Linked DNA regions of Drosophila melanogaster. The protein of the gene in region 1 interacts with the protein of each later gene in a pairwise test. Each region holds a gene or a part of one and is shown in the gene's direction. Other genes may lie near its edges.

Region 1 (3,760 bases):
TCCCATTTCAGTCGCGGCTCCTCACCGGTGTGCCAATCGCCCTCGTCGGTGTGTCCCAGTCCCGATTCCGGAACCTTTGACGGCCGCCTCACGCCCAAGTTGTTCATCTCGAAGCTGTGCACAAGCAATTCGGTGAGCGGAAATGGGATAAATAACAATAGCAGCAGCTCGGGATGTCCGTCGCCTGTTTCCGCCTCGCCCGGAGGTGTTGGCAGCGGTCCCAATCTGGAGGCAGCCATGTGCCTCGTTTCCGGCGGCAGTCAGAGCCAAAGCATCGACGAGGGTATCTCGATACCCGAATCGGAGACGCACTCCTGCCGCAGTCGCACCTCTTCCATAGTGTCCACCGCATCGTCCAGTACGCAGGTGCTGGTCAACGACCTGGTGGATGATGCCACTCTGATGGACGATGCCAAAAGTGAGACCTCATCGATCGGTGGATGCTCCACCATTAGCATAGAGTCATCCTCCTGCGATAGTGGTGCCAAGACGGCTGCCACTTTCCTGAATCGCCTGGTGGTTGATTCCGATGGCGGTGGTTCGCCGCTGGCCCAAAAGAGCTTCTACATTAACAAGCAGGGATTGTCGGGCGCCAAGAAGTTTGTGGTCAATCACGAGCGAACGGGAGCCGTCAGCAAAGATGTGCCGCAAAAGCTTTAAGAACATACACAGATTAACTTAGTTTAGGGGTCGATTTTAGGAAATTCTAAGAAATGCTTATAATCTCAGGAGCCAAAAGTTAATCATTGCTGCACTTTAGCTGATTTGTTTTGAATGCTTTAGAAAATATTTTCGAATAAAATTGCATAGCTTGATCATTTTTAAGTTCTAAAACTCAACCAAAGGTTTTGTTATAAAAACCACAAGCAATATTTTTTTAGAAAGAAAATTGAATTAAGAATACCTTTGGTGTAATATGTAAAGGATTAAAAATGGTTTAAAATGTATATTTCCCGTAGTGTTCAAAACAAATCTTCGTGGAAGAGACAAAAGATAAATTAGTGGTACTTTGATTTTTGTTTAAGAAAATCGACCCGAAATAACCAATTACACACACACGCTTAAGTTGAGAGTTTCAAAAGATCCTCCGACTTGCTTAACTTTAGATCGTAGCTTTGTTGTACATAGTTAAGTTGTTTGTCTGAAGTTCTAAACCATCTTGCATATCATTTAACGCTGCGCACTTCCCTTCACCCCTAGAATCAATCGGTTTTAATATGTTAGCCTAAGGTTCACTATACTATATATAGCCAGAGTTTATTGCCTCGATCTTTGTGTTATAGAATGTTTTCCCATTTCCAATGTTTCGGTTAATAATCGACGTACATTAGTTTTGTTTTTAGTCGCCACCTCACCCCTTAGATATTAGGAAGAAAACCCCAATTTTGCCAAATATGTTTATTCTATGCTTATGTGTAATAATATATCCAGCATTATATTGCCTATAATGTGATCCAATTTAGCGCGGATATCTGCGCGTATCCCACAAAAACCTTACTGATATAGTAACGCATATATTATATAGATTTACGATCCGATTCTAATTATCGTAAGCGAATTTACATAGTTTCAAGAAAAAAAGTTATACTTAAAAAGGATCCAAAAAGAAATACACATTTTTTCAATTGATCAAATTGTTTGTTTTCATTGGTTGGCTTAAACAATTAACTACTATATAAATAATTAAATAAATATGTTAACTAGATTATAAATAGCGACTTAAGTAAAAAGTATCTCGCGGGCAGTGAACTTGACCATATTTTATGTACATAAGATACTAAACCTAAAGCAAGAAAGTGCCTATTCAAAATGAGTATATTTCAGATAGAAAATGCACAATTCCTACGGCCATAGCATTCATTACTTTATAAATATTAAAAGCAGGTATAATTTATATTATTATATATACAACTTTTATGAGTATGCCTAGAATAACGTCGCCCAGCGTAATATCGTGCCAGCCACATGAAGCACCTGCAAGCTCGAGTAAGTATCCACATACACGATATGCACACACACGCACCGAAAAGTTCGAACACCTGGGTAATGAGAAGCCGAGCATTGCTCCCCAAATCCCCAATCCCCATTCGCAAACAGCGACATACTGGTTTCCCCACACAGATAGGACACAATGCACATGGCCAGATGCTCGTGCCTTGAACACGGACGAACCAATCCCGCAGACCAGAAGATAGAAGCCAGGGACCGAGACCGACCGAGACCGATAAACCAGGCCGTTTCCACACGGACCAAGTCGAGTGGGTGTCTGTGGACGTGTGAGGGGATCCGATACAAACGAGTTTTATAGCAAAAAAAAAAAAAAAAAAAAAACAACAAAATAAGATAACTAAGCGCTGCAGTCACGATCGCCAATATTTCGAGACCGAGAGACCAAAGCAATCGGGAGCCTAGCCCAAAGCATTCGAAGCGGATCTGGGAACCTGGCTCCATATATCACAGGGGCAGAACCCCACTACCCACGCCAATGGAATACAAATTAGAAGAAAACACGCTATCCTAGGCAGCCAAAAGTGACTCAAAAGTGATTATATAAGTCGGATGCGAAAAAATATAAAGGTGAGTTTGTCTCTTCCTGTTTAAATATGGTTAGTTATTTAGAATATGTATGTATGTATAAGATTATCTCTTAATTGCTGAATGCTTTAAATTTATTTAATTTTATTTGAATTTAATAATTATTTAAATCACAGGATGAAGGATGAGAAACATGTTTACGTTTTCAAAATCGAAAACTAGTCAAATTTGTCGTATATGGCTTATCGTAAAGGCTTATACTAAACAAAACGCGAATATTAGTAATTTTTCACCTGCAAGCCATTTTTTAACACTCCATAAAAAACGATCGCGGGTTTTCAGGCATTTATGGGCATTTTACCGAAGATCGCCCTGAAAATGGAAAATAACCAAAGAAGCGGCCAATAATTAAAGTCAATTACTTAGATATATGTACATATGTACGAAGGTACATATGTATATACTTGCATAAAAAGGAAACCAACAACAAAAAGCTAAAAATAAGAAGAAAAGCAAATGCGAATAAAAAAAGTTGAAGGCGCACGGTTTTACTTTAGCGCTGCTGCTCGGACGTCAATAAATTTTTTTTCGACGTCGACGTTGACGTTGACAGCGGCGTTGGCGCTGGCTACGCCGTTGTTGTTGCCTTTTACGCTTTGGTCACGCTGCTCCCTTTTCGTTGCTCCTCTACCCCCTCCCACCGCGCTCTCGCCATGCTTCCGTACTCCCACTCGCCCACTCTCTCGCCCACCTCCCCCTTGATATCACTCTCCAGCTCTCTTTTCGCCTCTCTGCACGGGCGTAAGCATTTGCGTCGAAGGGGGTTATTTGCCCCAACCACAATAAATACTTTAAATTTTTAATCCTACATTATCGTTCCTATTTAACAAAAAGCAAATTATCTTTTTTTTGGCATTTCATTGAAGATTAGATCGTTGTTATATACAAGTATATATAGTAAGGAATTCCTTTCACTCCTGGTAACCTCACCCCTTCTCATGTCCTGCCTACGCCCCTGCTCTTGTGAGCAATCTTGAAAATCGTGAGTTGTTGTTGCTGCTGCGCCTGTTGCTCCGGCTGTAATTGCATTGTTTTTGTTGTTGCCCTTGTTGTTGTTGTGGGGCATTTTCTTTGTTTTTCGTGTTTCGCTCTTGCGTGGCCCCAAGAAAAATCAAGTTAACACGCCAATGGGCAGTGGTGGGAAAGGGGGGCTAAAGGCTCACGT
Region 2 (3,760 bases), on another chromosome or scaffold:
TAAATAGATTAGCTGCTTATAGTTGTTCTTGGTAATTAATATAAGCTATTATTATTAAAACATATATGTGTACTCACGCAGACGGATGACACGTCCATGTCGTGACCGAAGAACATCTGCTTGTGGCCCTCCTCTCGCACATCCCACAACTTGGCAGTTTTGTCCACAGAGCCAGTGATATAGGTCTTCATATCTGGCGAAAGCGATAAGCCAGCGATATCACCAGCGTGTCCATTGAAATCCATTGTCTTGACACCCTTCTCCAGATCCCAATGGCATCTGTTGGTCATAGGAAACTTAGATTTTACTCCAAAAAGTTAAGCAAAGCCCTACATTTTCATATCTCCCGAGCCGGTGATCAGATGGCCATCGTCGAGGAAGCGACAGGAGCTGAGGAATCCCTCGTAGCCCATCAGCTCTTTGACCATCTTGGCCACTCCGGAGGCATCGCGATTGTTCACATCGTAGACGGTGCACTGGTTGTCCATTCCTCCGCAGGCCACAAAGTTACCCGACGGCGAAAAGGCCACCGTCATTACCCAGGCGGATCTCAAGGGGATGATCTGCACCTTGTTGGCGGTCCAGGTGTCCCAGATGATCAGCTTGCCGTCCAGCGATCCAGTGACGCAGTGCCGCGAGTCCCCGGCAAAATGCACCGAATTCACCTTGTTGATGTGGCCCTTGAGAATCTTCTTGGATGAGAATCGAATCTTGGGCACATCCCCCATGTCGCCGCATTTATCGGCCAACGTGCAATCAGCCTTGCTTTTTTGGTCATCCTGAAAGCAAAATCATAGTAATGAATGACAATTTTTATTACAAGAATTTCCAGAATAAATGTTAGAGACGCATACAGTTTTCGATTAAGTTAAGTCACTTAATTTTTTCAAAATTGGAAATAATGTGTTCGACTATTATCGAGATGAAATATTATGGGAGTAGTTAGCACTGAAGTATGAAATCTGGCAAGATATTTAAAACCCAATCATATTATCATACATATTCCAAAAAGTTATATTAATATTTTTTTGTTAAAATTAAATTAAGGACAACGAATTTCTTTTTAAGCTGGCTATCGGTATTTTTAGAGTATTGTTATTTTATATGGGGAAAACTTTTTTATGTTACTTTTGTTGTTGCTATATTTATTATCTGATATTTTTAATTTACTTCGCTGTACGTTGAGTTTATTTAATTCACCTTAAACTTCTGTATCATGCCATTGATTTCGTCGTAGAGTTTTTGTGTTTCTGGGTCAATTTTCGGCATTATGGAGCATTAATTATATAAGGACGGCTGCAATATTTGCCAGAAGAAAGTTTCTAGTTTTGAACCGCACTGCGTCGCACAATAAACTGAGAGTTAAACAATTTGTTTTGCCTGAATGTTATGATGTTTTCTTTTTTCCTTAGCGGTAATGCAATTAGCTAATTGGATTAGCCGTTAAATACAAATGTATAGAAAGACGATTTTTTGGCGCCAAAATTTTAAAATCGAACATATGAGCGGGCTGCCAACTTATCGAAATGGTGTGCGCCTCTTGCAGCACTGGACTGTTCAGGGTGACCAGGTCGGTGGCCACCAGATGTTCCACTCAATGTAAAAAAGATGCTTGTATAGCCAAGGCGAAACTGGTCCCTCTAATTACACAACTCTCCAGGATCAGCTGTTCGGTCACCTCATTTTTGTTTTCCCTGTTTTTATTTATAACAATTGCCCATATTAACACACCGCCAGCATGGACACCAAGTAGGGAGCGCCATGGAGACGCTGCCATGTGCCAACCAGCTGCAGGAGCACCAGCAGCCGCAGCAGCAGCACGTGAATCTCAGCATAGATCCTAGTCTGGGTGAGAATGTGGTCAGCATTCCCAAGGAGCTGATCCTCATTTCGCTGGTCTCCCAGGAGCAGTCGCTATACAATCCCAAGCATCCCCACTACCGCAGCACCAAGATCAAGGACGAGAAATGGCTGGAGATTGGCAGCAATGTGGGTTGGTCCGGTAAGTGAACGTTTAAGTTTCCCCACCAAAAAGTTGGCACTTAATCCCATTTCCACAGACGTCCAGTGCAAGTCCAAGTGGAAGGCCATGAGGGATCAGTACTGCCGGGAGCTGAAGCGCGCCAAGGCCTGCTCAAAAGCAGTGAAGTGGAAGTATTTCAAAGAGCTGGATTTCCTGCGTCCATATGCGCTGGCAAGAAAGTAAGTAGCACGTGGAGCAATTCAAGTTGGCACCGCCATGCTGACTGCCAATGCAGACTATACAGCATATGGAGCTATCTATCACTAGTTCTGTTCTTCAGGCTTCCAAATGATATGTCCGTATTTAATTAAACCCACAATTCTTTAGTTACAGAGGGAGATCTGGTCAGACTTCCAATGGCGCCGTGGGTACGGTGACCCCCTTATCGCTGCCCATGACTACTTCCTTCAGCAGCAACAGCAGTAGCCAGAATCTAAACCTTTCCGGCAGCATTAAAATTGAGGATGCCAGTGCATCCACGCTGCTCGACAGCTGCAGCTTCAGTTCGCCTAGTTCAACTGATAAGAAGCCGGCAGCCACTTTCTTGGCAAGCCATATTGGAGCCGTGCTGCAGCAGCAGCAGCAGCAACAGCAGCATCAGCAACAAATGCACTCGCAGCCGGAAGCGAACTGGAACTATCTGACGGATGCGGGAGGCGGTGCTACTCCATCAATCATAGTGCAGTGTGGAACCGCCAACACAACCACGGTGGTAGACACTCTCTACAACGAAATAGTGGACTGCGTCAATGCCGCCAATCAGTCGAGCTCGGCAGCAACAATCACGTCTAATGTATCCACCACTTCAGCAGCGCACAATCAATCGACGAACGCCGAGGAGGAGGACGACGATCCCATACACACATTTCTCAACATGGAGAGCTACTTCGAAAAGGAACTGATCACGCTGATCCAGCAGGAAGACATGATCTACAACTACGGCAACGAGAACTATCGCAATGCCAAGCTCAAGATGGAGGTGTGGGAGGAAATCGCCAGAAAACTAAAGAAGTCGGGTATGTGGTTGATAAACTTAAACAGCCGAAGGATGAAGATGATTTTTCAAGCATTAACTATTTTAGTGAAACAGTGTCGACTGAAGTGGAAGGCTTTAAGGGACCAATACGCACGCGAACACAAGCGATTGAGGACACTGATGCACATAGATGCCACATCGCGTTGGAAGCACTATAATTCGCTCAGTTTCCTTCAGAAGTACATACAACAAAAGACGCTGTAAGAGAGGTTTTGTTTATTTTAACATAATCATATATTGATAACTTTTTACTCTTCAGGGAAAGCGATTCGCAACTCAGTATGCTGCTACCCAAAAATGACCCGGTGAGGGAACTCGAGGACCATATGACCCAGTCTCACTCACCGCCCACGCAGCAGATCACCCTAGAGTCGTCTTCGTCGAATTCCCAGCTTAACTTGCCCACCCTGCCTCATTTGACGGGACCACACAAGGCTGAGCAACAACAACAACAGCAACAGCAGGAAGAGCAGCACCAACAGCAACAACAGCATCAGCAGCAACAACAGCAACAGCAGGCAAGTGAACTCTGTGTGGCCACCTATGACGACATGGACATCGAGAATTACATCAACGGAGATGTACACCATAATGATGATGATGTGGAAGACGATGAGGATGAGGAGATGGAAACCACAACGGCGGCGGAACAACCTCCTCAGCAGCAGGATCAGCATGTAATGACTTACGATCACGAAGAT
Region 3 (3,158 bases), on another chromosome or scaffold:
GGCCAAAAATCAGACTCAGCATGTGCGCATAAAGCTCAAATAAACTCAAGTTGTTGACAAAGGGGTTAAAGGCCATAATTGTGGCCGTCGGCAGAAGGGGTTAATATGAATGGGGTGGCCTAACGCTTCCCCATGGGGAACCTTCCAAACGTGCCAGACTGAAAGTGGAATTTTCATTGGATGTGTAAACAAAACCAGCGGGGGAAAATGAGCCAGATGATCAAGTCTGAAAAGCTTTCGGTACGGTAGCACTAAAGTGAGTTTTTAAGGGGATATTCTCTGCTTTATGGCCGTGCTAATGTATTTTTTTTTTACAGAATAAAATTAGATTTTATGAATTTGTATGAAGGACATGTTATTTTATTATGATTTGCTTATGATTTATTGCAAATCTCTGAGACTTCCTGAGGTTTCTTGTAAATTACTATTTATTATGAGTTTATAATAAGTTGCCAATAAATTCAATTTATTGTTCCAATTTCATTAATAAACTTCGAAGTTTTTTTCTAAAACTTTCTCAAATATCCTTTTCTTCTTATTTTCCTCCAAGGTTGCCTTATCTACCACCAAAAGATTTCTTTACAAAGCTAATAAAATGTATTACCAAACTTTTGCAGAAGTTCTTTGAAAAGCAACTCCATAAAATCAAATTTATGTATTACCTGCATTGCCCCCTTCTATTTGCTTTCCCCCTACTTTCCAGCTTCTTTTTTACTCATTTCCTATATCGTTTTAGCTCCCTGAACTGCAGGAGGACAAAACCTCTGGTCGCACTTTAAATAAGCATTAAATTGATACAGCATAAAGTTGTTTCCTTCTCTTAGCCCGCTCTGTCTACCCCACTCTTTTGCTCCCAAGACGCACTCCAGACACACTCTAATCGCTTTATAACTTCTAACGCAGTTTATCAGAGTCGTCCGCAGCCCGTGGCCCCTCATCCCTTAATTCCAACACCCCCAAAAGTCATCCTTCCCATGCCATTAAGGCGGCTCAAAGGCAAAAGTTATTGTCACGCACTGAAGTCGCCTTCATGTGGAGTTGTGTGGTGCACTGAGAAAATCATTGGTTTTTAATAACTCGGCTCAAAATTATATTACATCAGTACGCAGGCTCTAGTCTTACAGTAAATATCAAATATTCTATTAATAAGATCAGTTAAAAAAGCTACTTTATTTTAGCAACATTATGAAAAGTTAACATTAGTTTACAGGGAATCCCTAAAATCATGTACCTATTTTGAGAGATATCCTCTTCATGGTAAATAACTCATACTCAATACACTGATAAGATTGTCAAGCTAAAGACGAAAATATTATGCAAGTGTTGATAAGAAGAAATTATATCAAGAGATTGTTTCTTTCTGTGCAATTTTTTTTATTGAAATGGTCGAAAGGGGGTATATAAACACCTCCACCCATGCCAATCTTCATGCAAAAGCTTTCTGGTTATTGCCTTCCTGCTCGCACTTTCTCTGTGCTTGTGTTGGGTGTCTTTAGTGCCTTTTTGGTTTTCCTCGCTTTTCTTCTTTCGTACTGTATTTTCTTATTTTTTGTTTAGGACTACGTCTGGCAAACAAGGCGGAAATTATTGTTGGCGGGGTCTTAAAGTTTTATTTTACCTTTTACATATCTATTTGTCAGCATCCTTTTTTTTGCAATATCAAATTGATGTTTTGTCTGCGAAATACTTTTTGTTTTTTCTTACATCTGCTATTACTATTACTGTCATTACATTCGTTAAGAATGAAAAGAATAAAAGCGCTTAAATGTTATGAATTAGTCCGGTGAGTAATTCCCGATCCATGATTGCACAAAAACATTGCTATCTTTATAGCCCACTTTGAGTATTAGCAATAGAATCGAAGTGAATCCCCAGTGAGTCAGTCGAATACACACCCCCTTCGATAAGATAAAGCAGCACAACAATAATACTATCTGAATTGTCAAGCTGTTCAAGTGGGATGTGTATATAAACTGGTCATATCAGCGGATGGAAAGGCAGTTAGCATTCAACAAGCAACGAGAGCAGTTTTCGAAAGGAATATATCAGTTTGATAAGGATTAAAAAAAGTAAAACATTCAAAATGTCGCCGCCACATCACGAAAATCGCCTGTTTGGAATCCACCTTGGCCTGAATTTGGGTGGAGGTGGACATCATCACCACCACCATCATCCACCGCCTCCGGTGCACCACTATCACCCACCGCCTCCGGTGCACCACCATCACCACCACGGACCTCCAATGCACCACCACGGACCCCCGCCGCACCACCACCACCACTACGGACCTCCGCCACCGCCGCCCCACTACGATCATCATCATCATCACCACGGCAGCCACTTTGACCATCATCATGGTCCTCACCATGGACATCATCATCATCACTGCTAGTACAATGGAATGGAAGGAAGGTCTTAAAAACCACAGCCATCAGGTGGCGAAATAATGAAAGTGTTTATAAGCGAATTTAATTTATTACATAAAGTGTACAAAAAACAAAACCAAAAAAATCATTAAAACCACTTAGACTTATACAAAGACATTTTTGAATGCTAGTTTCCTTGGGGAAAGTAAAAATAAATAAATTAAGAAGTACGATGATAATTCATGTAGAATTTTTTATATATGTATGTACTCGTAATGGATTTCTGCATTCCAAAAATACGTGTACTGCGCACTTAGTTAACAAATGTCCATACGATAAAGTATAAAATAACAACTAATCTTATCTTGATTGACATGACGCAAAGATTTCACCAAAACGTAATTGAACGATTCTCTATACATATAAAGCTGATTTTAAAGCCAAAGGAATCAAGAATAATTTTAAAACTTAATAATTCAAGAAATTCTAATCCAATAAGAAGATTATTGGCAACCACAAACACAAAACAAGACCACCCACGAAAACAAGTTTGTAAGCCGATAAATACAAATGAAATTAAATATAATTTTAGTACGGCTTAGATTCGCTTCGGGTGGGTCAAACAAAATGTTTGCCAATTACAAACCCATTTCGAAACGCTTTTATTTTTCTGCGGTTGTCACAAAACGCTAATTAGACAGCAGCTACCATATAGAGTGGGTCTCTCAATACCCGTATATATTTGTCTGTGGGTTATGTGGCCTGTCATAAAATATAAAATGCTGCCCCCGG

What was found.
Region 2: the proteins of CG4496 (region 1) and CG8765 interact in a two-hybrid assay, tested with the Drosophila melanogaster proteins (one large-scale study listed by BioGRID).
Region 3: the proteins of CG4496 (region 1) and CG13482 interact in a two-hybrid assay, tested with the Drosophila melanogaster proteins (one large-scale study listed by BioGRID).

What each region holds. Positions count from the first base shown.
Region 1 is NT_033779.5:7,188,302-7,192,061, reverse strand, and holds the start of CG4496 (uncharacterized protein), read left to right. Parts: upstream 1-2,051; 5' UTR 2,052-2,577; intron 2,578-3,760. Other genes in the region: CG4497 (uncharacterized protein), read left to right, coding at 12-660.
Region 2 is NT_037436.4:19,685,237-19,688,996, reverse strand, and holds the start of CG8765 (uncharacterized protein), read left to right. Parts: upstream 1-1,643; 5' UTR 1,644-1,761; coding exon 1,762-2,002; intron 2,003-2,060; coding exon 2,061-2,202; intron 2,203-2,350; coding exon 2,351-3,039; intron 3,040-3,105; coding exon 3,106-3,259; intron 3,260-3,318; coding exon 3,319-3,760. Other genes in the region: Gbeta76C (G protein beta subunit 76C), read right to left, coding at 78-279, 334-779, 1,201-1,269.
Region 3 is NT_037436.4:14,327,354-14,330,511, forward strand, and holds CG13482 (uncharacterized protein), read left to right. Parts: upstream 1-1,992; 5' UTR 1,993-2,083; coding exon 2,084-2,392; 3' UTR 2,393-2,532; downstream 2,533-3,158.